Caenorhabditis elegans: one gene and its partners. The protein of the gene in region 1 interacts with the protein of each later gene in a pairwise test. Each region holds a gene or a part of one and is shown in the gene's direction. Other genes may lie near its edges. The genes, in order: hum-6, pxl-1 and unc-9.

The links.
Region 2: the proteins of hum-6 (region 1) and pxl-1 interact in a two-hybrid assay, tested with the Caenorhabditis elegans proteins (one study listed by BioGRID).
Region 3: the proteins of hum-6 (region 1) and unc-9 interact in a two-hybrid assay, tested with the Caenorhabditis elegans proteins (one study listed by BioGRID).

Annotation. Positions count from the first base shown.
Region 1 is NC_003284.9:2,298,830-2,307,978, forward strand, and holds the start of hum-6 (Unconventional myosin heavy chain 6), read left to right. Parts: upstream 1-4,252; 5' UTR 4,253-4,291; coding exon 4,292-4,309; intron 4,310-4,365; coding exon 4,366-4,476; intron 4,477-4,663; coding exon 4,664-4,810; intron 4,811-4,857; coding exon 4,858-5,042; intron 5,043-5,576; coding exon 5,577-5,791; intron 5,792-5,834; coding exon 5,835-5,998; intron 5,999-6,043; coding exon 6,044-6,453; intron 6,454-6,498; coding exon 6,499-6,664; intron 6,665-6,713; coding exon 6,714-7,733; intron 7,734-7,776; coding exon 7,777-7,899; intron 7,900-9,149. UniProt on the Caenorhabditis elegans protein: Myosins are actin-based motor molecules with ATPase activity. Unconventional myosins serve in intracellular movements. Their highly divergent tails are presumed to bind to membranous compartments, which would be moved relative to actin filaments.
Region 2 is NC_003281.10:5,888,002-5,900,189, reverse strand, and holds pxl-1 (Paxillin homolog 1), read left to right. Parts: upstream 1-4,178; 5' UTR 4,179-4,183; coding exon 4,184-4,229; intron 4,230-4,510; coding exon 4,511-4,640; intron 4,641-4,715; coding exon 4,716-4,804; intron 4,805-4,850; coding exon 4,851-4,944; intron 4,945-5,903; exon of another isoform or gene 5,904-5,961; coding exon of another isoform or gene 5,962-6,059; coding exon 6,060-6,111; intron 6,112-7,765; coding exon 7,766-7,912; intron 7,913-8,171; coding exon 8,172-8,345; intron 8,346-8,587; coding exon 8,588-8,683; intron 8,684-8,731; coding exon 8,732-8,866; intron 8,867-9,512; coding exon 9,513-9,791; 3' UTR 9,792-9,917; downstream 9,918-12,188. Other genes in the region: C28H8.8 (uncharacterized protein), read left to right, coding at 11,415-11,477, 11,780-11,914, 11,958-12,080, 12,130-12,188. UniProt on the Caenorhabditis elegans protein: Required for myofilament organization of the pharyngeal sarcomeres and for pharyngeal muscle contractions and hence for pharyngeal pumping. Together with lin-8, might be required for myofilament organization in the body wall muscles.
Region 3 is NC_003284.9:13,207,674-13,218,789, forward strand, and holds unc-9 (Innexin unc-9), read left to right. Parts: upstream 1-4,716; 5' UTR 4,717-4,758; coding exon 4,759-4,870; intron 4,871-5,299; coding exon 5,300-5,335; intron 5,336-5,387; coding exon 5,388-5,538; intron 5,539-5,589; coding exon 5,590-5,681; intron 5,682-6,168; coding exon 6,169-6,296; intron 6,297-6,743; coding exon 6,744-7,162; intron 7,163-7,282; coding exon 7,283-7,382; intron 7,383-8,031; coding exon 8,032-8,154; 3' UTR 8,155-9,052; downstream 9,053-11,116. Other genes in the region: R12H7.4 (G_PROTEIN_RECEP_F2_4 domain-containing protein), read left to right, coding at 9,464-9,613, 9,665-9,738, 9,788-9,890, 9,935-10,023, 10,074-10,211, 10,256-10,490, 10,720-10,806, 10,853-11,104. UniProt on the Caenorhabditis elegans protein: Structural component of gap junctions. Plays a role in maintaining gap junction activity to promote locomotion.

The DNA of each region.
Region 1 (9,149 bases):
GTTTTTGCCGCTTTTTGAGAAAACTATAGCACTGCCGCAACGAATACAATGTTTTTACATTAATAATAAAAGTGCCAGAAAATGAGATTTTTCAATTTTAGAAAAAAATAATATAAAATGCATAATTTTTTTTTGAACTTTTTACTACATATGATAATTGGTCATTTTGGCGCAATATCCATATTTTAATGCAATTTCTTAACAGCTTTAAAAATTAAATTCCTATTTGGAAACGTTTTTACTATTTTACTATCTCTTACTTTGTCATTTTGAAATCGGCACATCCAAAAACCTTAACCTTAATGTTTTGAACTTGATCTTTATCTTCCGTTAAACATATTGATCTCGGACAGCGGTTCAAAATCTAGACATTTTCCTTTTAACCCTGCGTTTCTCCCAGCAAAAAAAAGTTTGACTGGTCCGAAATGACAAAAATCCAGAGCAAATACAATTGCTCCTGTGCACCGTCATCCATATGAGAGCTATTTTTGTCGTTTTCCCCGGCTTGCCGTCGTCTTGGGTTTTCGCTCTGTGCGCGGTTTCGCGCGAGCTGTCCGGAAAGCCGTGAGTGAGCCGAAAACGCGCGGACACGCAGACCGTGCGCATGATGACTGCATTACATTGACCAGCTTCCGTTCCCATTTCGAAGTGTTCTATCTGGCGGATAGAGTTTTCAAGACATTGTGCAATTTTTTTGTTTGGAACTTACAACTTTGTAAAGATTATTTTAGGTGTTTTTTTTTTAAATTTCCATATTATCAGCTTTGCTCCATTTTAGCAGCTGATCACTGCTTCCCTTTCTCCATTCTTCCAGAAAATTTCACTTAGTCTCGAGACTTCTTAATCTGGCAAACATATATAATAAGGACCATATCCGATTACCTATCCAATTACTCTTCCGACTACGAAAGCTTCAACTATACTCGCCAAACGACCACCCCCACCACAATTCCACTTCATGATCGATCATCTTGTTGCTTTTTGTCAAAATCCAGCGCCAGGGCCAAGTGCACAAAGCCGCGCACCGGTGGCGAAACAATGGATCGGCTAGGCTCTTCCACAGTCGTTGTGTCTTTTGGCCTCCGTAGTGTCCACTTATGGCGTTAAACAACTGTTTCGCTTATTCTGCATCTCCTCTTTTTTGCTGAACAATATTTGCTTCCTCCCACCTTCTCCGCTTCATCAATGTTTTTCTTATTTTCACTCCTAAAAACTCAAGTGGAGATAACACGTTTTTTGGAGTATCGTTATGTCATACCCCCTAGCCGTCTCGACATGGAATGCGGAAAAACGTTTTTTGAATTAATTTTTTTTCAAAACCATAATTTAGTCAAAAAGTTTTTGCTGAAATGTTGCATGCTGTATTCAATGATATTGCACGCAAAGTTTTTGATATACCGTATTTCTTCTATCAGTATGGTCTCCCTATTAGATTTGCACTTCCTATTAGTATTGCACTCCCTAACAGTCCTGCGTCTATTTTTTTGGTGCAAACCAGCCTCACTAATTTTAAGATTTTGACAACATTTTTTTGCCAGTTTTGCAACAATTTTTCACAAAATTTCTATGAAACTGAAGTTATTCATGAACATTTTTGTTGCAGCTATAAGTAAATTTTCTAAATTTCCAAATAAAACTGGAAATCTTTCAAGTACAAACTAGTAAGCCCCAGCTCAAAAAAATGATCTGAAAATTAGTATTGCAGCTATATTTCCAACAGAAAAAACGGTATTTATAGGTGTAGTAGCGGTGCCAAAATGGCCAAAGTCATAGTAAAACTTTTCAAAAAAAACGTTTGAAAAACTTTTATTGACAGTGGCAATTACAGAGTTTTTGTCAATTTTTGGGAAAAAAACTACAGCACTGTAACATGTTTCAATGCCTACAATATTTAAAATTAAAGTTTTGTATATTAATATTCGAAACGTATGTAGACCCCAAAACTCAACGGAATACTTTTCTATGATCGACGACTTCCAAAAAAGTGGCAAAAACTAACCTCACCTTGTGGCATAGCTTTTAGCAAAAACATTCTTGAAGTCTAATTAAAGCTTCTTTGCGAATCAAATGATCTCAGAACAAATTTTTGAACAAAAACCATAACGAACTCCTAAAGGGAAAAAATAGGATCTTTAAAAAATTTTGGATTAAAATTTTTACAAACTCAACACCGCAGCTATTTTTCATTTCATATCAATAAAACATTAATTTATATTATCCCCATAAGTTGTACTTGTCTAAAAAAAATCACGTTCTAATTTCCAATTTGGAGCATCTACTGTGACATTTCATATGAGTACGTTTGCCAAAAAATGTGTCTTAATTATATGTTGCTAATAATAAAGATGAATATTCTATAGTTGGGCAAATGATGCTTCAAGCTGATTTATGAAGTGCCGTGAGAGTATCTTCCCTATTCAATTGCATTCATCCAGTGATTTTCCCTCATTCACTCTTTTCTAACTATCACTTTCATTCGATCACATCTCCCCCCATCAAAAACTAATTCCATTATCATCCTCATTCCTTTCCTGATATCTGCTAAGAATGAGAAACATTACAAGAAGAATGCAATTTGCATCGAAACAAGTAGTTGGTGTAGTCATACATTTCCCGGTCTCATATAGGGATACTAGTTGTTAGGCCGCTGTTGCCCAAGCTTATCTCATTTCTTTGAGTGACCTCAATTTTGACTGTCCATCTATACATAAGAAATGCAAATATTTGTTGTTTATTTCAAAAAGCTCTCTCTCTGTGCTTTTGTTCCCCGTTCCAGCTGGGCTTGCTGTCGTGTATTTTTTTTTGTCAATTCATCGGGTTTTTTTAGTACAATTAACTGAAGCAATGGGGCTGATAAAATTTCAGCACTTCAGTTTTTTTTTTAATTTGACATATTGCAATGTGAATGTGATATCCCTTATTGTAATGAACTTTTGAAAATCTTAAAAATCTGAGTAATTAGAATTTTATGTAATCCTCTCTAAAGATGACCTCATTTATTTGGAAGGCGATAAAGAGAGAAAGAAAATGAGAAAATAGTATTGGCTAGCTAATTTGACCGAAGACAATTGCGGCCGGAGGAGCGGCTGTTAGAAACAGTGCGGAAGATGACGGAGAGATAGTCCGCGCATTTCGGATTAACCGTGGTCAAATATCACAGTGTTTCTCTCTCAAACCCCCCCCCCCCCCCCCCCCCCCCAAAAGTCGCTCGGACTCATCACTTGCAGACCCCGGGCCCCCTCTCTCTCCCCAGCCAATACATTTGTCAACAAATAAGAATGTGTAAAAGAGAAAGAAAATCCGAACACAGACGGCGAACGTCTTTATTCGGAAAACCTGCGGGTTTCTGTGTACTTTCGGCTTATTGAACCTATGCATATTTTGTGTATAAACTCGTGTTCATGACTGTTTTGAGTACATTTGCTCAGCTATGTAGCTCCCAACTTTTACTGAATACCATATGTTCTTTTTGTAGCGCTGTACTCATTTGAAGCGTTTCTTATCTTTCTTTCTATCTTGTTCAAGGTTTTGATTTAAATTTCAAATTTCATTTGCCTGCCGTTTTTATTACTTCTATATACATAGGTAATTCTTGACTTTTTTTGTGAATTTAATATCATACTAGTATAAGTAGAAGAAAACTTTTAGAGCATGATTATAATTTGTCTGAATTTTTTAGTTTTTTTTGCTTTGTTAGATTCAAAATGGCTCAAAAACAGACTTTCATAACAAAACTTTCCAATAAATGTTTTTAATAATTTTATGGCGGTTCAATACTTCAAAAATATTCACTTAAATGCATCTAAAATCTCCAGTTTCCCCAGCATTTTTGCTTCTCAGCAGCCGGAAATTGACACGGTAAATTTGCACAATTTTGAGATTTTAGCTAAAATTATGATGTTTTCTTGACTTCGAACCATTTTAAAAGTGGAGTGCCGAAATCTGAGACTTTGTTTTTTTAAACCTAAAACGACCCAAAACAACCGAGTTTCGTAATGAGACGTTTTGAAAATTTCTCAAAAAAAAATTACGGCTGTTCAAAGTTCTGCAAAAAAAGCTCATTTTCAGATAAAATCAAAAAAAAATTGTTGGGTCATTTTGGGTCTAAAAAGGCAAAGTCTCAGATTTCGGTACTCCGCCTTCAAGTATTTGAAAGCACACGTTTTTATTGGTTAATTTTTCTTTGAATCTTTGAAACTTGAATCGTTTTGAATTTTATAAAAGATATTCCTTAACGAAAATCAGTTTTTTCAGATAATCTGTGCTCCAATGACTTTGTAAATCAACAACAATGGTATTAGTAAGCAAGGTAACCATCCAATATTATTTGCTCAGCCGCTTGTATTACGTAGTATATTTTCTCAGGGTGACTTCATCTGGATTGAGCCCGGAAAAACAGAGGGATCGATTCCAATTGGAGCACGCGTCATCGACCAAGACCATGGACGTTTGAAAGTGATTGACGATCTTGGAAATGTACGTTTTGACACCACTGTTTTGAACATTTTTCACTGATACCGCAACATTGACCTCAATCCGTTTCCTACTTTCGCATCACTGCGGGCATCTCTTTAACATTAACATTTTATCACGCATTTGATAAGTTGCGCGGTGGTCGTGTTGCAATTTTTGTTGAGGGAGAGAATGTAAAAGTACAATTCAGGAACAATGGCTATCGGCGGATCGACGGGTCAGGCTGATGCATCCGACATCAGTTCAGGGTGTGGAAGACATGTGTCAGCTGGGCGATTTTCATGAGAGTGCGATTTTGAGAAATTTATTTATCAGATACAGAGAAAAACTTATTTATGTAAGCAATTAAAGAAATATCGCAAAAAGTTAGTTAGACAATTTTAGGCCTATACTGGTTCAATTTTGATAGCAGTAAATCCATATATGGACATTGCTATCTATACAGCTGATGAGATTCGGATGTACAAAAGGAAACGAATCGGAGAGCTTCCACCCCACATTTTTGCAATTGCTGATAATGCGTATACAAATATGAGGAGGGAAAAGAAAAATCAATCTGTCATTATCAGGTTCGTTTTTTAGACAAGGAGCATTTTTTCACAAAAATTATTTAAAAAAAAAACAGAAAAAGCCTCTCCAGTAGCATAACAATTAGAATTTTTACTTCGTAACTAAAATCTAAATTTTCTGAAAAATTGTCAAGTTTTCTTATTAAAAGTCCCAAGTTTTACTTTAAAATTTTCAAGTTTAACCAATAAAATTCTAATTTTTTCAGCCATTTTCCAACAATTTCCACCCAAAAAATATTTTCCATAAACTTTAGAACTTAAAACCTGAAGTATTTCCACTTGAAAACTCCGAAAACTCTCAGCCAATTTTTATCTTGAAAATTCTGAATTTTCTGCAATTTTCAGTTACTTTTCACGCCAAAATCACACTTTTACCATCTAAAAGCGCTCAAAATTTGAAAACATTGTTTTTTTTTACTTTTTAAAGCAAACACTCTCATCTTTAAACTAAACTACAACAACAAATTTTTTTTTGGAGTTCCAGACTACATAGTAAATAAAAAAACGAAAATTTTGAGCAATTTTCTTTTTCAGTGGCGAATCTGGTGCAGGAAAAACTGAATCCACAAAACTGGTCCTCCAGTTTTTGGCAACAATCAGTGGACAACACAGCTGGATCGAACAGCAAGTCCTAGAAGCAAATCCGGTTCTCGAAGCATTTGGTAATGCGAAGACCATCCGCAATGATAACTCGTCTCGATTTGGAAAATACATTGATGTACATTTTAACGAGAGTGGATCTATTGAAGGTTTGATTGACAAGTGGGAACATATTGAGATGTATTGTTTTAGGAGCGAAAATTGAACAATATTTGTTGGAGAAATCGAGAATTGTTACTCAATCAGAGAATGAGAGAAATTACCATATATTTTATTGTTTGTTGGCAGGACTGTCCAGAGAAGAAAAGTCGGAGCTAGAATTAGGAACAGCTGCTGATTATTATTATTTGATTCAAGTAAGCTTTATAAAGGTTGACTCGTCGACATCAATTGAACTTTAGGGAAAAACACTGACAGCAGAAGGCCGTGATGATGCTGCCGATTTGGCTGAAATCCGATCCGCAATGCGAGTTCTCATGATCAACGAGCAAGAAATTGGAAGTATCTTCAAACTTTTGGCATCTCTTCTTCATATTGGAAACATCAGATTCCGACAGAATACGAATGACAACATGGAATCAGTTGATGTAGCCGATCCATCAACTCTTGTCAGAATTGCAAAACTTTTGCAACTCCACGAGCAAAATCTTCTTGACGCAATTACTACTAAAAGCTTAGTAACGCGCGAAGAACGAGTGATCTCTAGATTGAATGGTCAACAAGCCGTCGATGCAAGAGATGCCCTTGCGAAGGCAATTTATGGAAAATTATTCATTCATATCGTTAGAAGAGTGAACGATGCAATTTACAAGTGAGTTAGGTTAGTTTAAAAAATATTTTGAAATTTATTTTTAAGACCGTCGCAGTCAAGAAGAACATCTATCGGAATTCTTGATATCTTTGGGTTTGAAAATTTTGAAAGTAATAGTTTTGAGCAACTTTGCATTAACTTTGCAAATGAGACATTACAACAATTCTTTGTTCACCATGTGTTTAAGATGGAGCAGAAGGAGTATGATGAGGTAGTTTTCATATTTCAATCTGAAAAATAAAATTTATTCAACATTGCAGGAGCACATTAACTGGCGTCACATAAAATTTGTCGATAATCAGGCTACAGTCGATTTGATTGCTCAGAGACCGTTGAATATTTTGTCTCTTATTGATGAGGAAAGTATTTTCCCAAAAGGAACTGATAAGACAATGCTGCTCAAACTTCATTCAACACATGGCAGAAACGAGCTCTATTTGCAGCCAAAATCTGAGCTTCAGAGAGCATTTGGAGTCACTCATTTTGCTGGAAATGTGTTTTACAACACACGAGGTTTCCTCGAAAAGAATCGAGATTCCTTTTCAGCCGACTTGTCCGTGCTCATTTCCTCATCAAAAATGCCATTCCTTGCTCGATTATTCGACGACATAGAATACGACACAAGCTCCAGAAAGAAGGTGACCGTCGGAAATCAATTCCGAAGATCGTTGGAGCAACTTATGTCCCAGTTGACTCAAACACATCCATTTTTCATCAGATGCATCAAGCCGAATGAGATGAAGAGAGCACTTGTGATGGATAGAGATCTTGTATTAAGACAGCTTCGCTATTCCGGAATGATGGAGACTATCAAAATCAGAAGGAGTGGTTATCCGATTCGTCATGACTACTATCCATTTGTCTTCCGTTATCGTGTCTTAGTTTCTTCCATCCAGGGACCAGTGAACAGGATCGATTTGCACGATGCAGCCAAAAAAATTTGCCACATGATTCTTGGAACAAATGCTGACTATCAACTTGGAAAAACTAAAGTCTTTCTGAAAGATAAACACGACTTGGTTCTGGAGCAAGAGTACTACCGCATATTGAAGGATAAGGCAATTGTTATTCAGAAAAATGTCAGGAGATGGTTAGTGAGAAAAGACTTTGAGAAGCAAAGACAAGCTGCTGTCACCATTCAAACTGCATGGAGAGGTTTTGACCAAAGGAAAAGATATCGTCAGATTATTTCCGGTTTCTCACGCCTTCAGGCTGTTTTGCGTTCGAGACAATTGGTGTCACATTATCAAACTCTACGAAAGACAATCATCCAATTTCAAGTTAGATAATAATCATAGGAACTTACACTATTGTCAATTTTAGGCTGTATGCCGCGGGTCTCTAGTACGTCGTCAGGTTGGAGAAAAGCGAAAACGAGGCGAGAAAGCACCACTCACAGAAGTTTCATCCACTGCTTCAGTTATTTCGGATTCACATGAGGAATTAGTGAGTTTAGGCAATTTATGTGAGGAGTATAGATTGTGGGTACATTGTATGAATTTTATGGAACCACGATATCATGAGAATGTCTACTTTTCTGGCGGCAAATATCACGTAGCGAAGGGACCTGCGTCTCTCTTCGCCACATGTTATCTTGCTGCCGCGGCCTGCAAATATTTTCGCGCCAGTAAAGAGGCATTCTCATGACCTCATGGTCCCGTAATATACTAAAACTAGTTCAAAATCCCAGTTTCATTAGGAAAATTCAGCTCTTTTTTTTTTGGAAATTTTGACCCACCATAAAACATTTTTCGAAATGTTTTGAGAAGTCCCATCACGAAGTTTGGTCGCTTTAAGAAAGTTTCAGTATAATTAAGCAAAATACCCACAATACCTACTCTAAGCCTTCCACGAGGGCGCTACTCTCGTACGCCTGTACCTAGGGGTGGCTATAGGTCGACCTATGTCGACCTGCGACCTAGAGGGTTAGGTCGCATCGCGACCTGCGACCTAGCGACCTAGGTCGCTTTGCGACCTGCGACCTTGCGACCTGCGACCTAGCGACCTGGGTCGCTTTGCGACCTGCGACCGAATTAAAAACGTAGAAAAAAAGCACAAAACAAAGCATTGATTTCTACAAATTCTACAATTCTACAAAAAAAATTGAAATTTAGAAAGTTAAAACATTTCGGGGGGAACGAAACCCATTAGTACCATAGTTTTCAAGTTGAAACAATTTTAGTCAGCAGCAAATCCGGCGGATGTCGGCTGTTCTAACTTTTTCGACAAGGTGTCTTATGGATAAGACATCGAAAACAATGTAAAATAAATGATTTGTAGCAATTTGTTAGTATACATATTCTGCAATCTTATGTAGTTTTCGAGTTATACAGATTTTGACAACTCAAGTGAATCAAAACCGAAAGAGCACAAAATGTCAGTACTTCAGGTCGCAAAGCGACCTAGGTCGCTAGGTCGCAGGTCGCAATGCGACCCAGGTCGCTAGGTTGCAGGTCGCAATGCGACCTAGGTCGCGATGCGACCTAAATGAAAACAGCGACCTAGCGACCTAGGTCGCACTCTTGCCACCCCTACCTGTACCACACCACAGCTTCGCAGACACCACGCAGATATAGCGACGCGCGGACTTGTGTAGCGTCGGCCGCAGTACACAGACTGCGATTTTGCGGGCGCACGGGCGTGCGGGAGTAAAGGAAGGCCTAATCTACTCCACCTTCAAAACACAAAAGTGAATA
Region 2 (12,188 bases), on another chromosome or scaffold:
GCCTTCCGATTCAAGAGAGCAACTGGAAAATCAAAGGAATTTTTAATATTTTTACCCCAATGTTACTTGGTTATTCAAAGTAAAGTTAACCCCATTTTGTTCTGACTTTTCATGACTTTTTCCCACGGTATCATCCATTCATTCATTTTTTTCCCTTAACCTCACTCTCTCTTCTTTTCATTTTTGTCTGTCCCGTCATGCCAGTCATCCGTGTTGGTATAATTACAATATGAAGCAGCGTTCGTTCTTTTCAAGGACAATTGCCTTCTTTTTTCTCGTTGTTCCATGAATTCCATATATTCCAGAGAAATTGAATCGTCGGTGGCAGAGGATTGAAGGTGGCAGAGGAGAGAAGGGGAATGTCAACTGCTGTAGATCGACTTGGTAAGCCTTTTCACTTTTTTTAGAAACAGTGTCACCAACTGAGTTTTGAAAGAAATTAGATTACTGCTTATATCAAATTATTTTGAAAAAAAAAAATTGGAAAAAGTTAGATCCGAAAAATATATTCCAAAACATGAAACCCCACCAATTTTCTTTTTATTTTCCAAACAAAAAAAATTACAAAAAAAAATCATTGGGTTTCTATTTGTAATTTGACGTTCTCAATTGAATTACAAAAAGAAATGAAAAAAATTAAAATCCAAAAAAATTTGTCGAAGAATGTCCTTCCATTAAATTCAAATGTCTGCCATATCATAAATGACGTAATAATACCTGAATATTCGAGAGAAATGAAATATGATACATGTTGAGATTCAAGAGGTCCCTCATGCACTTCTTGCTCACTTATACGCTAGGTTCTAGTTTAAACTTCGTCTATTATCAGAATTTGGCAATACAAAATTGTGTAAAAATGTTTTAATTTCAAGACAACATATGCCCCTCTATTAAAATTTGAAATCACCCCCAAAAAGGAAGGTGTGTACTGCGTTTTGACATTCAAATCTTTCAATATTCACAAAAGTTTAATATTTTCCAAATTTTTTGCATTGTTCCTTGTTCCAATATGTAAAAAATATTTATTCTGTGCAATTTAATTTTAACTGCAAGAGGTGCATGAAAACTGGAGGGAATATTGTAATAAGATAAACTCTGGAATTTTCAAAAACATGATCAATTTTGAATATTTAACATTATATGTCAAAGTTTGATACAAAATGCATACCAATTTGATGTGTTCTTCTCAAAACCCACACTTTCTTCGGTCTCAATTGTATCCTCTCTTTCTCTTTTCCTTCTGTTGTACTTCCTTCCCTTCTACTTCATTCTCTTTTTCTATAAAATCTTCTCTAAAATCGTCGTTTTCTTCTTCTTCTTGATCATTTCCGCCCACCTATCACTTTTTCCCTCATGATGCCCGCTCACTTGTTTAGCAACACGAACAGCTGTGATTTGCCTCTTGCCACTGATTCCAATCACTTTTCTCCTCAGCTTTTTCTATTGATATTTCAATTTTTGTTTCATATTTTTGATTTTTTTTTCTAAATTTGGCTCCGCCCATTCATAGATGTCTGTGAACTCCTTCCTGCTCCGTATAGAATTATTAAAGTTTTAATGGTATAGAAGAAAAACTAAAAATACAATTCAAAGTGTTGAATAAAAAAATAATTTATATATCTATGTGTCTACTTACCGTCTATTTTCTGAATTTTTTGTTTGAAGATTTACGAATTTCCCCGATTTTGGTAATTTCAAATTATAGAATTAAATGTGAAATGTTCGCGTACAAAAACGGGTGTATACAAGCTGGCATTTTTTACCTACTTGCCTTAAAAACTTGAATCTTGAATACGGTACGTGGTCCCGAAAATAAAATTGGTGACCGAATTTTCTTACGGGACAGTGTAAAAAATTATCCCATATTTTAAGAATTTATAATAATTTTGTTTTCTAAATTTTCCACAAATTCCGTCTTCCACAACTGATCCCTAGGTACACTCTCCTTTCGAAACCTACTTGAAACATTTTGCAAACTTTTTTTCTGTTTGAATTACGATATGCTCGTATGTGTCTCTTCGGATCTCCATGATCTTTTCAAAGTCATTTCGATGGTTTTATTTATATCCGTGGCGGCGCAAACTTGTCATCAAAAAGTTAAAGCATGCGGTGGGAGGCGAGAGACACTCTTGACGCGTTTTTTTGTTTTACTGTGAGCAGATCTCTTGAGTCTCTTGGAGACTTTTTTTGCTAGCTTCACTAACTATTACAAGACATTTTAGAGCATAGTTTTCTTTCTAACCAGTGGAGAGTTTTATCTAGAGTCTTTAGAGCCAGTACCATTAATAAATTTCATCAATTGTATAGAGCCACATTTTTAGAAACTGTATCATTTTTAGATCAACCGTCGTACTTACTATCTTACGGCAGCCGTTTAGTTACATTTCAATCGAATTCAATTCGAATTCCCTCAAGCCTGTGTACATCTCAATCTCTTCCTCCCGCTCATTCTTGATTCAAAAACAAAAACTTTGCCTCCATTTCTTCCCGCTCTTTTCTATGTGTCGTTTATGTGTCTGTCTCTGTATCTCTTTAACTTTCACACTATTTCCTTTTATCGTCTATCTCTTCTCTTTTTTGAAGAAACTCCTAAAGATTAAGGGCCAAGATCATGAAGAATTCCCATGTTCCATTTTCTAGTTTTTCCTTAAATCAAATAATATTCTGGTAAAATAATAGTTTCAAGAAGTTTCAAGAACTTCCAAACAACTTTCACAATATACCGTAGAAATTCATAAAAGTTTTGACATTTCTCATTTTTCATGCATGATTGGCATGTTCCTTTAGTACTCGATCCGGTTTCACAACACCGTTTAAAATGTGATCTATTCAAACGGAATATGTGATTTCAATGTATCTCTTGTCATAGGGAGACTTCTGCTACTTGGCCGAGAAAAGGGATACCTCGGTCATCGCTTTCTTTGGCGGTCATGTTGCTAATAATTTATTTAGATTTTCCAAAAATTTTTTTTTTCGAAAAAGAGAGATTGGATTACTAGATTGGATTACTGATTTGACTTTCAAGGTTTTTTTAAATATTTCCTCGTTATCGATCCCTTTTCCAAGTACCAATTATTTCCAGCAACCTGGATTATTTTCTAATTAAATTTCAATTCAATTAGCAAAAACATGTACTAGGAATATGTGTAATTGAAAAAACTCTTAACGAACTGAATTGCATAAAACCATTCCTATATGTTGCTAAAATGTCCTAATATCATAGAAAACGGTTCAAATGTTTTTTTAAAATAGTGTAGTCAAAAAGTGGCTAGTTCTCACCTTCTTAATTTTGGAATTCTACAAAAAAGTTTTTTTTTCACAATTTTAAATTTGAACCAAAATTATCTTAACACTTTTTCACAATTAAACTAAGTTTTCCTATTGATCAAGCTTTAACTAATATCAAAATGATCATTCCTATTCTGAGAAGCAAATTAATCAAATTAAAATATATGGAAAGTAGACATATCTACATTAAAAAATTTTTTATGGGAAAATAGACACTTCTAATTTAAATTTTTTTAATGAAAAGTAGACACTTCTACTTTAAAAATTTGAGAGGTGAAGTGTCTACTTACTATTAGACATCCTTTTCAATATTTTAAAAACTTAGGCTACTGGATTATTTTCTGAGGATTCCTCATCAAACTGTAATTTTTATAAATAAAAATTTGTATTTTTGTTATCCAGATGCTATTCTTTTTTCAATGTTTTGTACTTCTTTTATGTCATCTCCATAAATCTTTTTTCCTTCTCCTCCTCTTTCTTTCTTCCTTTTTTCTTTTTTTTTGTCGGCTTCTTCATCGTTTTTTGTCTTCTTCCTCCCACTTTTTTCCACTCACTCACACATATTTTGACACATTCTCTCACATTTTTAGTGGTCCCCATACACATGCATACACACTCATCTATTATTGCACTTTTCCTTCTTTTATACACCCTCATTGGTACCGTTTTTTACTATTTTGAACATCTTGTTGTAAATTCGATCAATTGATAATTTGTTGATTTTCCGAAACTTGACTAAGCCGTCGGGTTGCATTCTGAGGTTCTGAAATAACTGAATTTTGGACTTTTTATAAAATCCAATTACATTATAACTTCTAATAAAGCTCTTTCGTCCGCCTTTTAATTGTTTTTTTCTTGATTTTCTCCTGAACATTTTTTGAATATTTCAGTAAGAATGCCAAGCGACGATCGTTTTGCGGATGCGGTTAAACCAGCTTTAGGTACCCAAGAACTTTCTAATGGAGGCTTTCCGGTGGAGAAATGCTCCCAGTAGTAGTCGTAGTACTAGTTTGGAAATTATGAGTTTTTTGATTAATGGGAAACTTATTAATATTTGGATGGAATTATCATAATTTTGAAAATTTATATGATTTTCATACTTGATAGTTTTCAATAATAAAATTCTTAAAAAGTGGGTTTTCACTTTTCAATTTGAAACATTGAAGAGTTCAAATTCTGTAATTGAAACAAAAAATAAATAAATATATTATTTTAATTTCAGAAGCCCTTCTATCGGATCTTCAACACACCACAGAAGTGCTCCGCCGTGCTCATATAAGTGATCGCCGCTCACAGAGTCGTGATGATTTTGAGCAATCCTATGATCTTCAGGGAAATCTTAACACACAGAGGTTAGTTTTTTTTTAATGTTACAAACCTTTCCATACATGTTTTAACATAAACTAAACATCTAATATTTGTGTCAGTGTGAGCAATGGAAATATAACCACTTCACCCTACAAACGTCGTTCGTCAGAAGGAAAAGATTATTCAAAAAGTCAGGAAAGGATTTATGGTTTGTTTTTCATGTAAAGAACATTAATATGTAATTGTATCTGTAGAAAATGAATCAAGACTTAACCCACCAGTCTATTCACGTCCAAGTGTCCAAAGTCTATTGTCTCAAGTCGAAGAACCACCAATTCGAGCAAGCAGGTAGGAGAAAACGTTTTTTGTTTTTTTGAAAACATTTTTATCTTCGGAGTCATATTTTGAAATTCGTGGCCTAGAAAAACCTTTTAAAAAGCTATACTATGAGTCAATTTAAATATTAATTTCAAATCTTCTGATTTAATAATTTCAAGAATCTTGCGATTAGGATTCTTAAAAGGAAAAATTTAAAAAATTTTGATTGGCACTTTCAAAAAAATCTGTAAAACATTAACATCTTACATCTGAGAATGCGAAAATATAAATCAATGGCCTAGAACACACAAAAAATGTTAGACCAACAATTCAGAATTTAGAATTCTATTAGGCATTTTAATTCGAAAATTCATAATTTTTTGTAGCCTAGAAAGTTCACTTAAGGCCTCGACATTTTTATAAGATTTGTTGAAAATTGTTAATTTTTATATCAACATTTTTTGTGCATCTTCAAAAAAATTGAAAACTTATGTATATCACGAAAATTGGTTCAGATATATATTTTTTTAATTTCTAAAAGCTTTCCAGACAACAAAAGAAAAATGGCCTTTAAGTTCCAAAAATAGCTCCGAAAATAAAAATGTTGAAAATATAAAACTAGAAAATTCCGATTTGAAATGGTCAAGCCCGTTTATCAAAATGCCAACTCCGTGTTCCATTTTCCCGCCGGCTCTTAGGTCATTTCCCGTGTTTCTGCGTCTAAAATCCCGGGAACAAACAAAAACTCAAATGTGAAGGGAAGAACGAGAAAAAAGACTAATAACATACACGCATATTACTTCTACTCGTCTCATCCCGTGTCGCAAATCATCTCTTCTTCCCCGGTACAGAGGAGGAGCCGGTTATTTTATTTTTCACTGAGTTTCTTCGTCTTGCTCAGTATCTCTTGAGCTCAACAGGGGTAAAATGCTGTAGGGCGGGAGAGTACCTACTCTCTATCAAGTGAGAAAGAAAAATATAGAGAAAAGGAGCAGCACACCTTTTTCTTTTCCACGCACACAACACTTTTACCTATCACTTGGCGGAATGATGCGCGAGTTGCAACAACGGCTTGACCATTTCAATGGTCCAAATTATGCACAAAATAGTCATTCAAACCACCAACAACATCATTCGGTTTATAGCTCACGCAAGAGTCTCGGACCACCAAGTCAGGCACAATCCTACTCTGATGTCGTAAGTTTTTATTTCTTTTCGGGGGGAGCTTCTGGGAAGGGAAACTGAAATGTTTTCGTTGGGAGACCTTAATTAAAAATGTCCTTAAATTAGAATTTTCAAAATCCCAGAATCTTCATTAAACTTTCCCAATCTCTACAAATCTAATTCCGGATATTTCTGTGTTCACAAATTTTAAAACCTAATTTACTGATCCTGAACGATATGTATTCAACTTAGACGCAAACTTTATGAATTTGTAGTTTTTCCTATTTTGGTCACATGACTACAAAGTAGAAAATTCGGTCATTCTTTTAAAATAAAGGTTTCTTGAAATTTTTGGGACTTTTTGAAATAAAAATAATTTCAAAATGTTTTTTGAAATATTCAATTTACTGTCAAAAATTGGCAATTACTCGGGTTTTGCCACTGGTAATTCAAGAAATCCACCAGAATATTATTTAATTTTTGTTCAATTGTTCTAAGTTGACCATTTCTTGACAAAACTTTCAAAAATCTCAAGAAAAAATGTAGAGTGTTTAAATATGGTATTAGGTCATGATGGACTATTACTAGTATGGTTTATCAAAATCCACAATTCTTTCACTTAAACGTCATTGCTCCAATTTGAAAGATCATAAAAGATTTGGCAACATTTCACAACATAGTCTCCTCATTTAATTTGAATACATTGCTCATCTTGCTTGTTTTGTAGGATTCCATTAATCCCAAATGCAAGCGTATCCCCATAAAATTCAGATGCTCCACTACTTCCTCTGCTTCTTCTTTTCCCTTATTTTCATGTTCTGAGAGCAACTATTTGTCTCCCTCGTTTTCGTCACATTTTTCAAAAACTTTTCAGTTTCATATTTTACAACATAGTAAAAGGAGAGGAAGCAACAAAAAAAAAACGAAAAGTGGAGCGAAATTTCTGTTTGTAAAACCTTCTTTTATTGCCGCGTGGCTCTTTCTTTTACGTGGAAACACGTGCTAGAGAGTATGTGAGAAGAAGAGACACAGACGAGCTCCACGAGCAAACAGTACGGGGGGCTTCTAGAGGTTGAAGCGGGGGTGTAAATGAAGGTGAAACGATGGGAATAGAGAAAGGGAGATATTGTTAGCTTTTCCTTGGTTTTTGATGAGAAACCTTTTGGAATGAGGTCATATGGAACGATTTTTAGTGTATTTTGATGACTATTTGGGAAGGGGATCTAAATTTCGAAATTACAAAGTTCGGGTTTACAGAGGATAAATAAAAACATAGGGAAAATACTTCCATACCCCGCTATCAAAAACAGAATGACCTCGCTAAAAATACGCCGCGGCAATTTTACTAATTTTTCACAGAAAGTTTCCAAAAGCATTCTAGAAATGGATTTGTATACTTTTGTGTGGTCTAAAAGATCATTACGTAAATTAGAAAATAAAAATTACCCCGTTTTTTTGGCATATTGCACCTTTTCTGTTGCCACTTACCAATGTTCAGTCATTTTTCATTTTATTAGTTTTTCAGCTTACTTTCCGACAAAAACCTTTTTCCATTAACTATAAGTAAATATGCCAATTCCAACAAAACATACACACACAAACATAAATTTGTCATAATGGTCTCGCAACGAATGAAAACACACATTTCCAATCGTTGCCCATATACATAAAAACGTGGAACTTATAGAGATCGAACGGTCGGTCTCCATCAAGAGACCCACTGCATTCGGATTCAATGATTGGAACAATGAATGGAGAATTGAGCTCAAAACATGGAGTCAATACAATTCCAAAAGGAGATTGTGCTGCCTGTGGAAAACCGATTATTGGACAGGTGAGCGTTTTAATAAAACAATTCTAGAATATGTGAAAAGTTCTAGGATTTATTAATTTCGCTGTGTATTACTGTTTGGCATCCTGAAATTTAATTCTGATTAACTGTGACGTAGGACAGTTCAAAATAATGTTCTCGCGGTATTTAGTTAAACTACGAGACTCTAGAAATTTCCTCAGAATAGTTTTAAAAAGAATTATTAAATTTCAACTTTGGAATGTCCAGAAAATCAAATTTGAAAAATAAAACCATTTTTCAGGTCGTCATTGCTCTTGGCAAAATGTGGCATCCGGAGCATTACACTTGCTGTGAATGCGGTGCCGAACTTGGACAACGCCCATTCTTTGAGAGAAATGGACGTGCTTTTTGTGAAGAAGATTATCACAATCAATTCAGTCCAAAGTGCCAAGGATGTCATCGAGCCATCACTGATGTAAGTGACGTTACAAAATTCTTAGTCATAAATATTTGGTACAATTGGATAATAGTGAATACAGAATATTGTGCATGATTTGTAGTATTTCCAGTTTTGAATGTACAACGAAAAACGCCGATTAGTGGAGTTTTGCAAAAATTAATGTGGACACAAGTTTAATAGTGTTTTTTTTTGTTAATCATCTTGAATATATTTTCATGAAATAAAAATGATTAGAGAAACAAAATTTAAGTTTCCAGAGATGTGTGAGTGTAATGAACAAGAACTTCCACATTGAATGCTTCACGTGTGCAGAATGCAATCAACCATTCGGAGAGGATGGATTCCATGAGAAGGTTGGTTAAAAAAATCCGTTTGAAAAGCCTTTCAGTTTACACTTTCAGAATGGACAAACCTATTGCAAACGTGACTTCTTCCGTCTATTCGCCCCAAAATGCAATGGCTGCTCTCAACCAATCACCTCAAACTTTATCACCGCTTTGGGAACTCATTGGCATCCGGATTGTTTTGTCTGTCAGGTATTTTTAGTTCATTATCATTTGTTAAACAAGGAAGTCAATTCAAAAATTAAAGAAACCATCGAAAACCGATTGTGCGGTATGTTTCTTGTCGGTGTCTCTCTATTCGTCTATTCGTTTCGTTTTTTTTTTCTTACCCCTTTTTATTTTTAATGAGTGGAGCAAATTGGCTTGTGTGAAGTGCCAGAAAATATTATAATGAGAGGCTTTTCGTTGATAGTATGCTGCAGTGATAGAGTTTTGTGGTTTTTTTAATAGTAACATTTGAAGTTAAAAAAATAAAACTATATAAAACTAACTATAAGTGTTAGGTTTATATATTTTTAATTTTGAGCCAACTGACTGAGTTCACATGGGACCTATAAAATGTGCAAATTTACAAGTTTGATTGAACCTTCCAAAACTTCATATTAATAAAAACCTTGACCCCTAATATATTTTATAATACCATTAAAAAAGATGTTTCGGTTTTTCGGTTTATTGTATCTTTCCTTACCTAGTCGATATAGACATAATTAAGCATGAAATATTTTAGAATTATTCCTTTAGCTGTAGTCAATAGTTTTATTTTTGGAATAAAATATTATTTTTATTTTGGTGTGTCATCTGTAAACTTCCCTAAATATATGTGGATTGTTCTTTACAGCATTGCGGAGTTTCTTTCAATGGTGCAAGTTTCTTTGAGCACAACGGTGCTCCACTCTGTGAGCGACATTATCATGAATCTCGTGGTTCAATCTGTTCTCAATGTCGTGGAGCCATTAATGGAAGATGTGTAGCTGCAATGGGAAGAAAGTTCCATCCGGAACATTTTAGATGCTCATATTGTAATCATCAACTGACAAAAGGAACATTCAAAGAAGTTGATCGTCGGCCATTCTGTCATAAGTGTTATAATAATACGTATGCATTGACTCCTGCCTAATCTTTTTTTTTCTCTTTTTTGTCTCTCCTGTCTTTTTGTGGTTTTTCAAGTTTTTTGAAGGTGGTAACTGGAAAAGATAATTCAGTAATAGTTTAGAATATTAGGCTTGGATGAAATCGAATATAATATTTTTCTCTTTGAGATTTTCTAGTTCTCTAATGCCATACTTTTCAAAAATTTAAGTGTCAGCTAGCCTAAATCCATAGACTTCAGCTTGACATACAGGATTAAGCCTAAGCCTAAACCTATACCTTAACTTAAATTCCAGTCTACTCAATTCAAAAACCTTCCACCTTACCACACGTCCATTGTATAAAATATGAAAAAAAAAAGTAAATCAATTTTCAAAAAAAAACCAAAATTTTTATTAAAATTTCTACGCATTTCAAAATCAAAATTTCCTCCCCACCGCCATATCAAACTTTTCCCCCAGTCACTTTTTTTCTCAACTTTTAATTGCATTTTATCGGTCCCCCCACCCACCCTCCTTTATCTTAAAAAATGCTCAATTTCATTCAATACAGGGCAACACTCACTTCGCACAACAATGCCCAATGGATGTCACTTATTTTGAAGAGGAAAATGCTTATTGATATATTTTTCCCTGTCTCAATTTTGTTTTGATATCTAACTACCTGCTAATACTTTTTAAATTTTTAAATAAAGTGCGATTTTTTTAATTGGATTTTACTTTTTATAAAATGTTTCAGGTGACAAATGATTTTGATTATTTTGTAGACGATTTTTGTGAAGTTTTTTTTAGTGAAATAGAGGTAGACCTTTTTAATTTTAAATATTTTCAAAAGTCAAATTGAAACATGCATTTTGCAAATTTGAAAATTGAAAAAAAAAAAAACTAAAATAGTCACTGTCCAAAAAATTGTACAAATTATATTTGTTTGAAGCGTGGGACGGCTAACGGTAACATCAATTCTAAATCGGCGAACTTTGTACCGTAATTAAACTAACTAAAAATTAGATCAAAAGATTTACAAAAACGGGGGAGGCACTTGTGTTTGCAGGATGCTGAAAAACTGAAATGTTTGTACAGATTGATGTTGGAATTAATTCGAAAGGACACAAAAAGGCAAGTGTAGTTAAAAAGTCTAGTCATTCGAGGAATAAATCTTTTTAACTTGGAAGCTTTCAAACGACAAGAATTATGATTCGAGTTATTACAAATGGTAAGTTATTTCCTATTTCTGAAGACTGAGCAGTGGTGGGGTGGTCCACAAAACTTCAAAAAACTCTCTTAATTGCGCATTTGTAATTGTTTAGCTATTAAATTATGAAAAACTATTTTTATAAATTTTATATTAAAATAATAATTTACCTATACTCTCATTGTTCGGATTTCTCATTTAAAATTTAAACAAGTAGGCAAGAGTAGTCAAGGATTTTAGAGTTTTTGCTTCTTTTTGGTCATCAAAGGGAAATGCAACTACTGGTGAAACTTTAACCGTACTAATATTCGAAACACTTGCATAAGTTCGGAGAACAGTTTTATATTTCCGAAATGTACCAGAAAGTCATAAAAACGGTTTTTAGACACGCTTTTTATATTCTACGAAAATTTGTTCAGAACCGTCCTATATGGCTTCACGGTGGATGCACAACTTCAAAATGTTCATAATCCTATTTTTGTGCTTCACTGTTCTTTTCATGTTGTTCTATCCAGATTATAAAGTGAGTTTTGGATATTTTTTCATTTGAGAAAAACACCCCAGGCAACGACAAGTTTTTAGTTTGTACCAGTGATCTTTTTGAAACTTCCTTGAAATTTTATCAAAAAGAGCTTCCTTTAATTTTCCGGATGCAAAAGTCATGTAGTTTTTATATTTGCCGAAGCTACCAAATTTTTTGTTTTCACGGCCATGTTGCAAAAGTGTTATTTGGCACTAGGGTGGGGTACGGTAAATACATCTGTGGTTAGTAGCTACTCAAAATTTGTTCTTCCTACCATTGAATCTTTACAAACTGATGTTCAGGTACACCAATTGAGTTCATATAGTCGTGAAACTTCGCTTCCAATCACCAAAAACAGGCGCTTCTTGGAAGCAGCCGACGAATGGAAACAGTGCTTTCAGGAGAAACTGAAAAGGAGCAGAACCGATCCAAAAGAGGTTTAAATTGAACGATGATCCTGATATGACGTCATAATTTCAGATGTGGTACTGGGTGAAACGTGTGATTAATCAATGTAGAAATGAAACTGCATTTTCGAAAATCGAATTGACTGGTGTAAAGAACAAAGATGAGATGAAATATCATGTGTACAGTCCATCTCAGGTTTCTCAATTCCACCACAAAAAAACCAATTTAATTCAAAATTTGCCAGGAACCAAGTGTAGTAGTAACTCTTGGCATTGGTTTGGATGTGAAAGCAGAAACAACACT
Region 3 (11,116 bases), about 11 Mb from region 1:
AATTTAGTTTTTGATTTTTCTATTGCAAGCTCAATGAAAATTAAGCTACGCATTTCCAAAAACCTTTTCCTCAGTATGAACAAAATTGTTCATTTTTTACTTTTCTGATAACTCTAGTTAACAAAAAAAGAATACCACCATTAATTATAGCATTTGTACATGCAAGAAAGCTATCACTATTCCGTCGTACTTTATGTGCTCGTGCACAGAATGCGGCACGACTAGAACAACGGGAGAAAAAAACGCGGGTCCCGCCACTAAAACACCTATCAAAACCGCTAAAGTCAGGCCAAGACCTCCCACTTCTTCTGCATTTTCTTCCCCGATTTATTCCTCTACCACACGTACACCTCACCTAATTATGCATATTATTCGTTGACTTGTATCCTATTTTCTGAATGCTTATTATGAGAGGGAGTATTTTTCAAGAGTAAAGGTATGAGTATAAATTTTTAAAGATACTTCAGAACGCTGAAATTTTTTTGTGACCTTTTGAAAGGGCTTCTGAGAATATAAAACTAGAAAAGATTAAGCATGCTTTCTACTTCCATTTCTGCTTGTCTTCCTAACATTAATTGAAAATTCATCGAAATTGAATAGAATATCAGTAGAGCCCCTTCCCTCGTTTCTTTTTTTTCTAATCTCTCCTTTTCCACTATTCTATTTTTTGAGACATAAAACATGTCATTTTGAAAGAAGTTGATATTGTCCTATACTTATTGTTATTCACTTTCATTTTTTCTAATTAAATTGGTTATATTGTTTGTTCTTGTTTTCGCGTGGCGCATGGTCATTAAAAGTTGGTGCAGCCTTTTTTTAACAGGCGAATAATACAGCAAATTTAAGCATATTTTTATCGCTTACATTTTTTTTCGGGATGTGCATATATATTACCTCAAAAAAAATCATATAAGATTACTCCATCTTAAACTTGAAAATGCCAATGTTTCTGTAGCTTAGACCGATCTAAAGTGTTCCTACATCTTTTTCATGCAATTTTATATTTGTGTAACAAAAAGCAAGCTCAGTGTGTACAAATTTAGCTGATAGTGTGTAGTGCACCTTTGTGAAGCTTTTTGGTAAGTTTGCAGCCGATATTGAGAATTGCAACCTTACCGTCTATTGCCAAAATATTAGTTGACTGTCAATTTTAATAAATATACCGTAAAATACTTGAAAATAATTCAGAATCCTATTTGTGTATTTCAGCCGCTCGACATTTCATTTCAGAGTTTCCAAATTTTACTCTTAACTTTTCAGTATTTGATAAAGATTAGAACAACACGTTTGGAATTAACGAACAACCTGGAATTTTTTTCATTTTTTTTTCGAGTCCTTCTACAACATCGATTTTGGCTCTTGAAGTCGTCCTTCTCGTCGACGCCGCCGCCGCCGTGGCGTGGCCCGTCTCCTTTTTTCTTCTCCAACGGCAATGGAAAACGGGGGAGAAAACTCCACAGCTCAGTGAGAAAACTGGAAAAAAGCGTAAGAAATTGAGAGAGGAAGGGAGAGAGAGTATGCAAAATTCCGCAACACGACACTTTAGAATCTTCCACGTCCAACCAGGTCCATTGGTCCCCTCCTCCTTTCAATCTATACCAAAAAAAAACTTTTGTGTATGTATGTATGTGTATATGCTCCTTTATTCACTCTTCACAACTTGTTTCTTCCCCTTTTTTATTTCTTTTTTGTGCATGTGCGTGTGCTGCTTTAATATAATGTGTAACTTCCTTGGCCCCATTGTCAGAAGTCCTTTCCCATTTCCGGTTTGTCAAAAAAAAATTTCACTCAATTTTTGTTCTCATACTACAGTACTTTGTGCCGCTACCCGAAAATGTTTAGAAGACCGAGAGCAACTCTCCTACTTATTACTGCGGCGAAGCACACATATACTCGTTTTCTGAGGAGAAAAATCGTTTATACATAATAGGTTCGCTTCTATTTTTCTTCTGATTAGTTAGTCTCGAGAGAGCAACGGGCGGCAAAACAACGAATAGGAATTGTTTTGAGGTGGTGGTCGAGGTTCAGACTTGAGCACTCTTTCCTTTCTTATTTTCCGCTAGGTTTTACTTTTTCCGCTCATGCGACGAGACTACTACAAATTGAAATTGAGAGCTGGAAGATGGGAACAATTTTCATGGTTCGGTCTTAAAAATCTGGTTTTCTGACTTGTTTCAAGAAAATACCTTTCTACGAAGAAAAGTAAATCAGGATATAATTTTCAGTTTTTCAATTAGTGATAGTTTGAAACTTGCAAGGGAATCGATTGCTTAGAGAGACAGTCAATTTGAAAACTTCCAAAAAATATTTGAAATGTTAAAATCAATGCTCAAAAGTAAGATTCGAGCTTCACATAAAGCAAGATGCTTATGATTTTTTTTTAATTTTATAACTTTCGTACTATTTTAGTATTCAAAGTTAATAATTAAACAGATCAGGTTCCCCTTTAATGTTTGTTCACTAGATTTTCCGGTGTGATCTATCATTTGAGTCTTTTTTTTTATTCCGTAATGACTTCTCACATTGTTCCAACTCTGCTAGGTTGAACAAATTCGTTTTACAAGCACGGAGTACGTGTAGGTGCTTATTTAAAAAGTTTATGTAAGTACGTTGACCGTACCTTATCACGCAATATTTTGTTTATTTATCTGAAATTTTCTGTGCAAATATAGCTAATGAAACGGAAAAAATTGAAGGATCAGAATAAGAAATAAGATGGGGAAGAAAAAAAATGCATATTCATTCTTATCTTTTTCACATTTCAATGCACACCACTAATTATGCAGCCGTTGTTTTCTTCTGCCAATGTCTTCATCTTTATCCGTTTTTTGTCATTCTTCATTTCTCTCCATCAGCTTTTGTGCAAATGCAGTGCATCACGTCATTCAGGGACAGAGCCACAGGAGACAGAAGAAAGGAAAAAGAAAAGGGGACAAAAAGGGACCCTCTTCTCTTCACTGGATGCGAAATTCAGAAGGAAAATGAGAGAAAAGGAAGGAAAAATAGTGTGCCAATGTGATGCTTCTTCTTTTTTTTTCTTTTTTCTTACTCCGTGTGGTTTTCGGGTATATATGTGGGGCTGTCTATGTCTTCATTTTCCCACTGCTCTCTGTCCACTCGCTCCACGTCCCCGGCTCCCTCTCTCGTTTTCTTCAATTGGCCATCAAAATTCGTGGAAGACGAAAGAAAAGAAAGAAAAGCGAGAGGAGGAATAAGAAAACGTGGAGTAAGCCAGGAGACCTCCTTCTCTCTTTATCTGTCTCTCTAGTATGCATTTTCTCGAGCAGGCTAGTAAATTTTTTTACTATTAGAAGGTGCCTCACATAGATATTTCCCATTGTACTGAGTTATGGTTTTAATTGTTTCCAATGTTCTTGTGAAAGTAGTTTGGTTGAAATACGGAATTGAATTATCAAGATATTTAACGAGAATTGAACTGTTTTTTTTTTCGGCCATTTTCAGTAGATTTCATTGGATTTTCTTAGAATTTTTGTACCTTTTCATCTGAACACAGCTTTTTTCAAAAATATATAATCGCGAAACGCGCTAGTTGGTTTTTGGATTGACTGACATCATCCCACTAGCGACAGGACAATTTTTAACCTAGAAACACTGATGGCACTTTTCGTAAGTTTTGTAAAACCTTGAGATTTCGGCAACAAAGCCGCCAATTCCCGTCTCCTGATTTGAAATTCATGCACTCTTCTTTGGTCCTGGCAGAGTTCAACTCTAGTGTGAACTACAAGTTGAGTCCACCTGAACTTTTGCTCTTGCTCCATTCCTTTTTCGTTTTAAAATGTAGGTTCATACAATAGCTTCTTAATTAGAATTCAGGATGTCAGTAATAGATTCCTGTGAAAGACTCTGTCAAGATAATTTTTAGATTCTGAAAGAACATTCGGAATATAGATAAATTTGTATTACGCATGTAGAAAATGTATACTTTAATTGCTATTAACTAGGGATTCTCTGATTTGCTGCATAAATATTCTTTTGGAGCTTTTATGTTAACTTTTTTCATATTTTAAACATTAAAAATGATATTTTCTTCAAATTATCGTCTTTTCATTAAAAAATTTGTTTAAGATGACCACAAATCAGAACAATAGGCCACGATATATGGGTAGGTTTGAATCGAACATTAAATTTGATAAAAAATACGATAGGTTTTACTGAATTTTTTTTTGACAGTTTCACAAATATAAAGTTTTAGTTTCAAAAAATGGGAAAAAAAATCATAAGAATCCCGAACTTTGCCTTAGTTGTTTTGTTTTCGTTTGCTTTGCATTTTCTTGTAAAAATCAAAAATTCTCACGGTAGCCTTTCAATTATTAAAAATATTTAAAAGTCGCATTCAATTTTTCAAAATTTGAAAAAAAAATCCTCCAACAGCAAAACGCCATTCCCCTTTTTCTCCTTCAAGTTTCTCCCTTCCTTCGCCATTCCTTGTTCCCGACGCTTTTTCTTTTTTTTTCCAATGCATAATTAGAACGACCTGGCTGCCATCAACAGACGTTGTCGTCCGTCGTTCACTTCTATTTTCCACCACCTCCGGCTCCCCAGCTCCTGTTTTCCACATTTTTCGCACCCTTCCAATGTCCGAACAAGACATGTTTTCAAACAAAAATTACTAGAACATCATCCATTCTCCATTTCTGCCCGTATTTTTCATCTCTTGTTTTCCCGTCATATCCTTACATCAAATTTTTTTTTCAGATCGGAAAAGGCGCTACGGGCGCCGTCACGACATGACTTAGGATGAGTATGCTATTGTATTATTTCGCGAGTGCTGTGAAGTCAATACAGTTTCACGTCGATGATGACATTATTGACAAGCTTAACTACTATTACACCACAGCCATTATCACAGGTATTCTTTTCTTAAATAAAATGTATCAAACTTTTTGATGAAACATAGCATACTGGTTTACAAAAAAACACATGAAAGAGAACCGAAAAGGTTTAAAATGAAAATAAATCTTCATGAATTAGTACCCATTAACCAAGGACCAAGGACTTGCTCTCCCTTTCATTTTGTTACATTTTTGATCAAAGATGTTTCCAATCAAGCATGTGTTTCTGAACCGTTGGGAAGTATTGAAATAGAAAAAGTTTGAAATAAATGTTTTGAAGGAGCTTGAAATCAAAAAATCATTTGATAAAATAGACATTGAAAAAGAAATTCAACATTAATTATGGCAATTTTGAAGCCATAAAAAAACACGTCTCTAGTTCATATTATCTATCTCCCGTTCTCCCATATAAATGAATTTTTCTCCAATAATTTCTTAATTTTCAGTGTTCGCGATTCTCGTCTCTGCTAAACAGTATGTCGGTAAGACCAAACATTTTCTATCATATTCTCACTGTCAACAAACCTTTTCTAGGTTTTCCAATCCAATGTTGGGTACCTGCGACGTTCACCGAGCCCATGGAGCAGTACACGGAAAACTATTGTTGGGTTCAAAACACCTACTTTCTCCCTTTACACGACTACATTCCACATAACTATGCAGAACGTGAAAATCGACAAATCGGGTTAGGCTCTGTTAATCTAAGAGTCTCATTAAAAAACGAACAATTTTTCAGGTATTATCAATGGGTTCCGTTTGTGTTAGCTCTTGAAGCTCTTCTTTTCTATGTGCCGACTATTGTATGGAGACTGCTCAGCTGGCAATCAGGTAGGTACTTCGATTGCAAAATAGAGTCTCCAATTTTACCAGTTACTTTTTGTATTGTAAGTATTAAAATAATAAAACGTGTAGTGGATGCATTTTGCAATTTGAACGAATTTGCATTACCTAAAAATATATCCAGGAAGACACATAAATATGTGACGTGAGGTCCGAAGCATCAGCCTACTACCAAATAGCAAAAAACAAAATTGTTGTTTTCAAGAAAAAAACGAAGAAAAAGCGTCAAGAACGGCGTGAAGAAGAAGAACAACAAAAATATCGCGGAATGAATGCGCGGGCCTTCGTCGATACTTTTCGCCTCAAGCGCTTCGAAGCTTTCCTCTCCTTCTCTCACCTCGAGGGAGTATACATAAATTTTCTTTTTTTTTGAAAGCTTCTTGCTTGTTGTTGTTTAGGACTAAAAATTTTTTAGGGAGCAAAAAAAAATAAAATTCAGGAATTCTAATATATAAGCTAAATAGGCAAATTTCAGGAATTCATGTGCAGTCTCTGGTTCAAATGGCTTGTGACTCCAGATTGTTGGATTTGGAATCGAGGAACAGAGCGTTGCAAACCATCGCAACAAATGTAGAAGAAGCGCTACACGTGAAACATCAAGTGGTATGAAAACTGTAAAACACAAGAGTACCCAATACGCACAAAACATTCTAGCGTCTTTGAGTCGCCCTGCTGTGTACCTTCAAGCATAATCACAGCCAATAATATTAATAATAATAAGAATATATGTAAACGTTTTTTACTTTTCTGATTTGCATTACTAACAGTTCAATTTTAACCAATTCAAGCTACATTCCGCAAAACATTCCGCAAAAAAAAAAATAGAGTTACCAGTTATCAATGATCGGGGTACACCTATTCTAGAGATAATCTGATTCAAAGCATTGAAGCTCCGTAAACCTAAGTTTTGAGATCTGAATTTTTGATGCTCCACACCCCTCTCGGAGAACTCCTTCAAAACTGAAAAAAAAACAACGATTTCTGAAAATTTTTGTTTATCATCAGATTTTTTCGGTTTTTCTTCTAATCTTATTATTTTTAATTTTACAGATGTCCGGAAATCGTCTGAAACTGCTCAACTTGATTATTTGCACACGATCTTCCGGTGCTGCTGTCACGTTCCTCTATATCTCTGTCAAAATTCTGTACACCGTGAACATCGTCGGCCAAATCTTTCTACTGAACACGTTTCTCGGTAACCGTAGCAAATGGTACGGACTGCAAGTTCTCAACGACTTGATGAACGGACGAGAATGGGAGGAGTCTGGTCATTTTCCACGTGTAACGTTATGTGACTTTGAAGTAAAAGTACTGGGAAACGTGCACCGACATACAGTACAATGTGTACTTATGATTAACATGTTCAACGAGAAGATCTTTCTGTTCTTGTGGTTCTGGTACTTCCTTCTTGCCGGTGCTACTTTGTGCTCGCTTTTCTACTGGATCTACATTTCAGTGGTGCCAAGCAGGTATGTTGATCATGTTAAAAACATTTTAAACATGACGAAAAACAAATGTGCACCCATTTGTCTCAATTAGCTTTTCAAAAAGTGAACGAAAGACTCATTCACGTAATGTTTTCACTGCAGGCAGCTCAACTTTGTTGGAAAGTATCTGACTGGAATCGAGGGATATAAAATGGTGGATTCGCAATCACTACGACGTTTTGTATTTCACTTTTTAAGACAGGTAATTTAACCTTTGGAAAAACCGAAACAAAAAATGAAGTGCGGCGAAAAACAAAAGAACTTCATGTTCAAAAATTTTAAATATTGGAAAAAGCTCATGGAATTTAGAGTAAGATAGAACAAATGAAATTTTAGAGATTTCTAAGCAGATTTTTTAATATGACAGACTTCGCATATTAGATATGCACCCTTCTTCACGAATTGACAGCTTTCATTGATTTTTTGAAAAAAATTTCAATGACTGTGAAACTACAGAAATATAGAAAAGAAACATACCGTATTTCTTCTATCGCGAAGTCATACAATAGGTTTTAAATGAAATACGACTGGGCAAAATTAATGAAAGCTGCAGTGCTAACTTTTGAGCTAGTTGTTGTTTTACTCTTAAAAAAACAAAACTGCAATTAAAATTTCCAAGAGAAATTTTAACTGCAATCCTGTTAAAGACGTATTTAAAACCACCGTGAGTTAGTAAAACAAATAATATACAGTAGTTAGAACTTTCCCGGTTCATAAGTTTTTGATATAACTATCAATAATGTCAACCAAATTATACGTATCTTGAACACCAATTAATTTTATTAGATTTGCACTATTGTGAAAAAAAAAGAAATAACTTTTACACTGACCGAAATTAAACCCCATTTCAGGATGGTGTTTTCCTACTTCGTATGGTTGCAACTCACGCCGGAGAACTACCCTGTTACGAGCTTGCGAAAACGTTATGGAACAACTACTGTGACAATAAAGAAGGAAAAATGCACGACGTGTGACACACCCCAACTTCGTAGCTTTTTCAATTTCTTCTAACACCAGTTCTCAAATTTTGATCATGAAATCTCACTTTCGAAAATCATAGAATTGTCGTCAATGGGTGTAGTCGTCTTTAGCTGATATTCTCAATTTTCTGTTGCTAGAAAATATCGAATCATCAACTGCATTTAAACATCCAGATCAATGGAAACTATTCACTTATCTTTTCCTCCTCATCATAATTCTCTTGAAAACCAAAACTAAACAATTTTGGAGGGTTTTAGAAGAGTGCCAAAACTTTTAAACTTTTGTATTGAATCAATTTTTAAATTTCTCAATTGAATACTTCAAAAAGTTGCTCAAAACTTTATCGATCCATTGTCATTTTCACCTCGAGCTTTTTGTCAATTTCACATTTAATTCAATTGTTTTCTAATTTTTTTTTTGTAAATTCTATTTACCAATTTCCAAATTTTCTATTATCAATTTATCAAAACTTTAATGACGCGGTTGTCTTTATGAATGTTCATAACTTTCAAATTATTATACCTAAATTTCCTCTAAAATTAACTCCCAAAAGTCTTTTGTAATTTTTTTCTCCAATTTTATTCCCTTTCCCCCCATCCTCCCACTTCTCCTTCCTTCTGTGGTTTCTTTCAAATGGCATCATGTCTTTTCAAATTACCTGGATTCACGTTTGTAATATAGATAATTTTTGTCCTTCCCCCCAAACTCACTTGATACAAAAATTAACTTTCTCGCCCTGTAATTCATATTTCTTCCAGTTTGTCTTCATCATCCACCTGCCAATGTTCAGTTTTCACCAAAGTTTTGAAAACGGAACCCACAAACTTTGCCATATTTTATTGTGGATTTGGATTATTTAATATTATTTGAAAATGAATAAAATAACAATTTTTCATTCTACTTCTCAGTAATTTTATAGTAGAGGAAAATAGCATACTTGCTTTGCAAATAAAAACAATTAAATAGAAAAGAAAAATGGCAAAATATATTTTTTTGAAAAACTATATAAAAACCGTCACAAAATTTACAGACATTTTGAAGGTTGTAAATTAATTAAGTTTTTGAAGAATGTTTAAATCTATTAGAATTCTTTACTTTTTTCACTGTCATTTTCGAAACAAACCTCACTTGCTCTGCAAAGACTAGAAGATCCAAAAACCAGGCTATTCAAAAAAACATCACAAGATGTCACAATAGAGCTATTGGAATATTCGATCCCAGTTTCCGGGGAAACAGTTTGCAAACACCAACCATCCTACGCAACTCATTTCTTCTTGTTTTGTGCTCGGTGTGTGGTCGAATATGTCAAATAATAATAGTTCCACTAATTCTACTGACACAAACTCTACAACAACCACTACAACAACTGCCGAACCAACTAATATCACTGATAACCTTTTACAAAGATGTTATGAAACAGTTTTATCAGATAACCAGAGCGATATAGTGAAGGTTTGAAATGTGTTTGAATACTTCCATTTATTTCTTTTTTTTTAATTTCAGTACCTTATGTATTTTTGTGGTGGCTGGATAATAGTATGGTGCTTAATAACTATATTGGTAAATATTTGCCATAAGTAAGTTATCTGATAGTATTTTTTCGAGTCGAGATTTGTAACATTTCAGGAATAAAGGGCACCAACGATATGTACACTTTTACGAAGAACTTTCAATTATTCTCCTGGCAGTTTGCATGTGTATTCTTAACTTTGTATTCAATCATAAATCAGTGAGTAATTAACAAAATAAACTCAGAGAAGTTTGTATATTTAGAATATCTGCAAATTTGTGGCGATTTTCAATCATTTTTTCATGTGCCTGACAGCTTCAATATTCTTTGCGGAAGCATTATTCGCATCGTCGTAAGTGAAATATTCTAATTATATTCACGTTTTTCAGTGTCAAATTTCAGAATGGTGCATGGAAAATCCGATAAAAACGGAAGTATTCCGTGGATTTTGTACTACATCTTCCCGATTGTTCTTGCAATAGGACCAACGTTAGCGACATATTTTCCAGAGAAAAAATATTATGGAACAGCATATTTACAGTGGGACACTTTCAGACTTTATAATAAACGTTATCGATTTCCAGCTGTTCTGCCATTTCCACTGTGGATATGCTTTGGGGGTTTGTGATTCCGGTATGGGTTATTTTAACGTTAGCTGGGCTGAAAGCGCAACTAGCGTGTATTGCATGCGACCGGCAACTACCATCTCAAGATATTTATCAATGCTATTGGGCGAGAAGATCAGTAAAATCATTGGTTTTGATTTCGCAGTATATATTCAGCATTTGGCTTATGATATTATTTGCTGCAGAACACCAGGTTCGGATACATTTGTGTTCTTCTATAGTTTTGAATAGAAAGAAATTTTTAAAAAAGTTACACTTTCGAAGTAAACTATAAAAACCATTCGTGAATTTTTAGATCATACGTATGAACAAACTGTTACTATTATGCAAAACGTCATTTTAATTTATTGCAATTATCAAACCGCTAATTGTTTTTGAGCCAGATATGCATGAAACTATGGCTTTAATAAAATTCAATTCAGAAACTCTACTTGTTTATTCTGGTCACCTTCATGACACTCCTATTTGGACCAGCTCTTTTTGTTTGCCACACATATGGACATTTGAATGTAAGCAACTGATTTTTCATGCACAGTCTGTTTTTTTGCTTTTCAGACCTGTCAGAAGTGGGCTGGTTCGGGGTGTTTTGCTAGTTTATACGCTATGTGTCCACCGAAACCTTCAACATATGAAAAAGATAAAGATGATGAAGAAGATGAGAAGATTGAAAATCCTCAGGAAAAAACACCTCTAGAAAATGAAGATGAAAATCCAGAAAAGCAACCTGGAGCTGGCGACTCGAAAGAGCCAGATGAGACATCAGGAAATAGTAGTCCGAAAAAATCAACACAAAGAGGAAAAGGACTGGTGAGTGTTGCT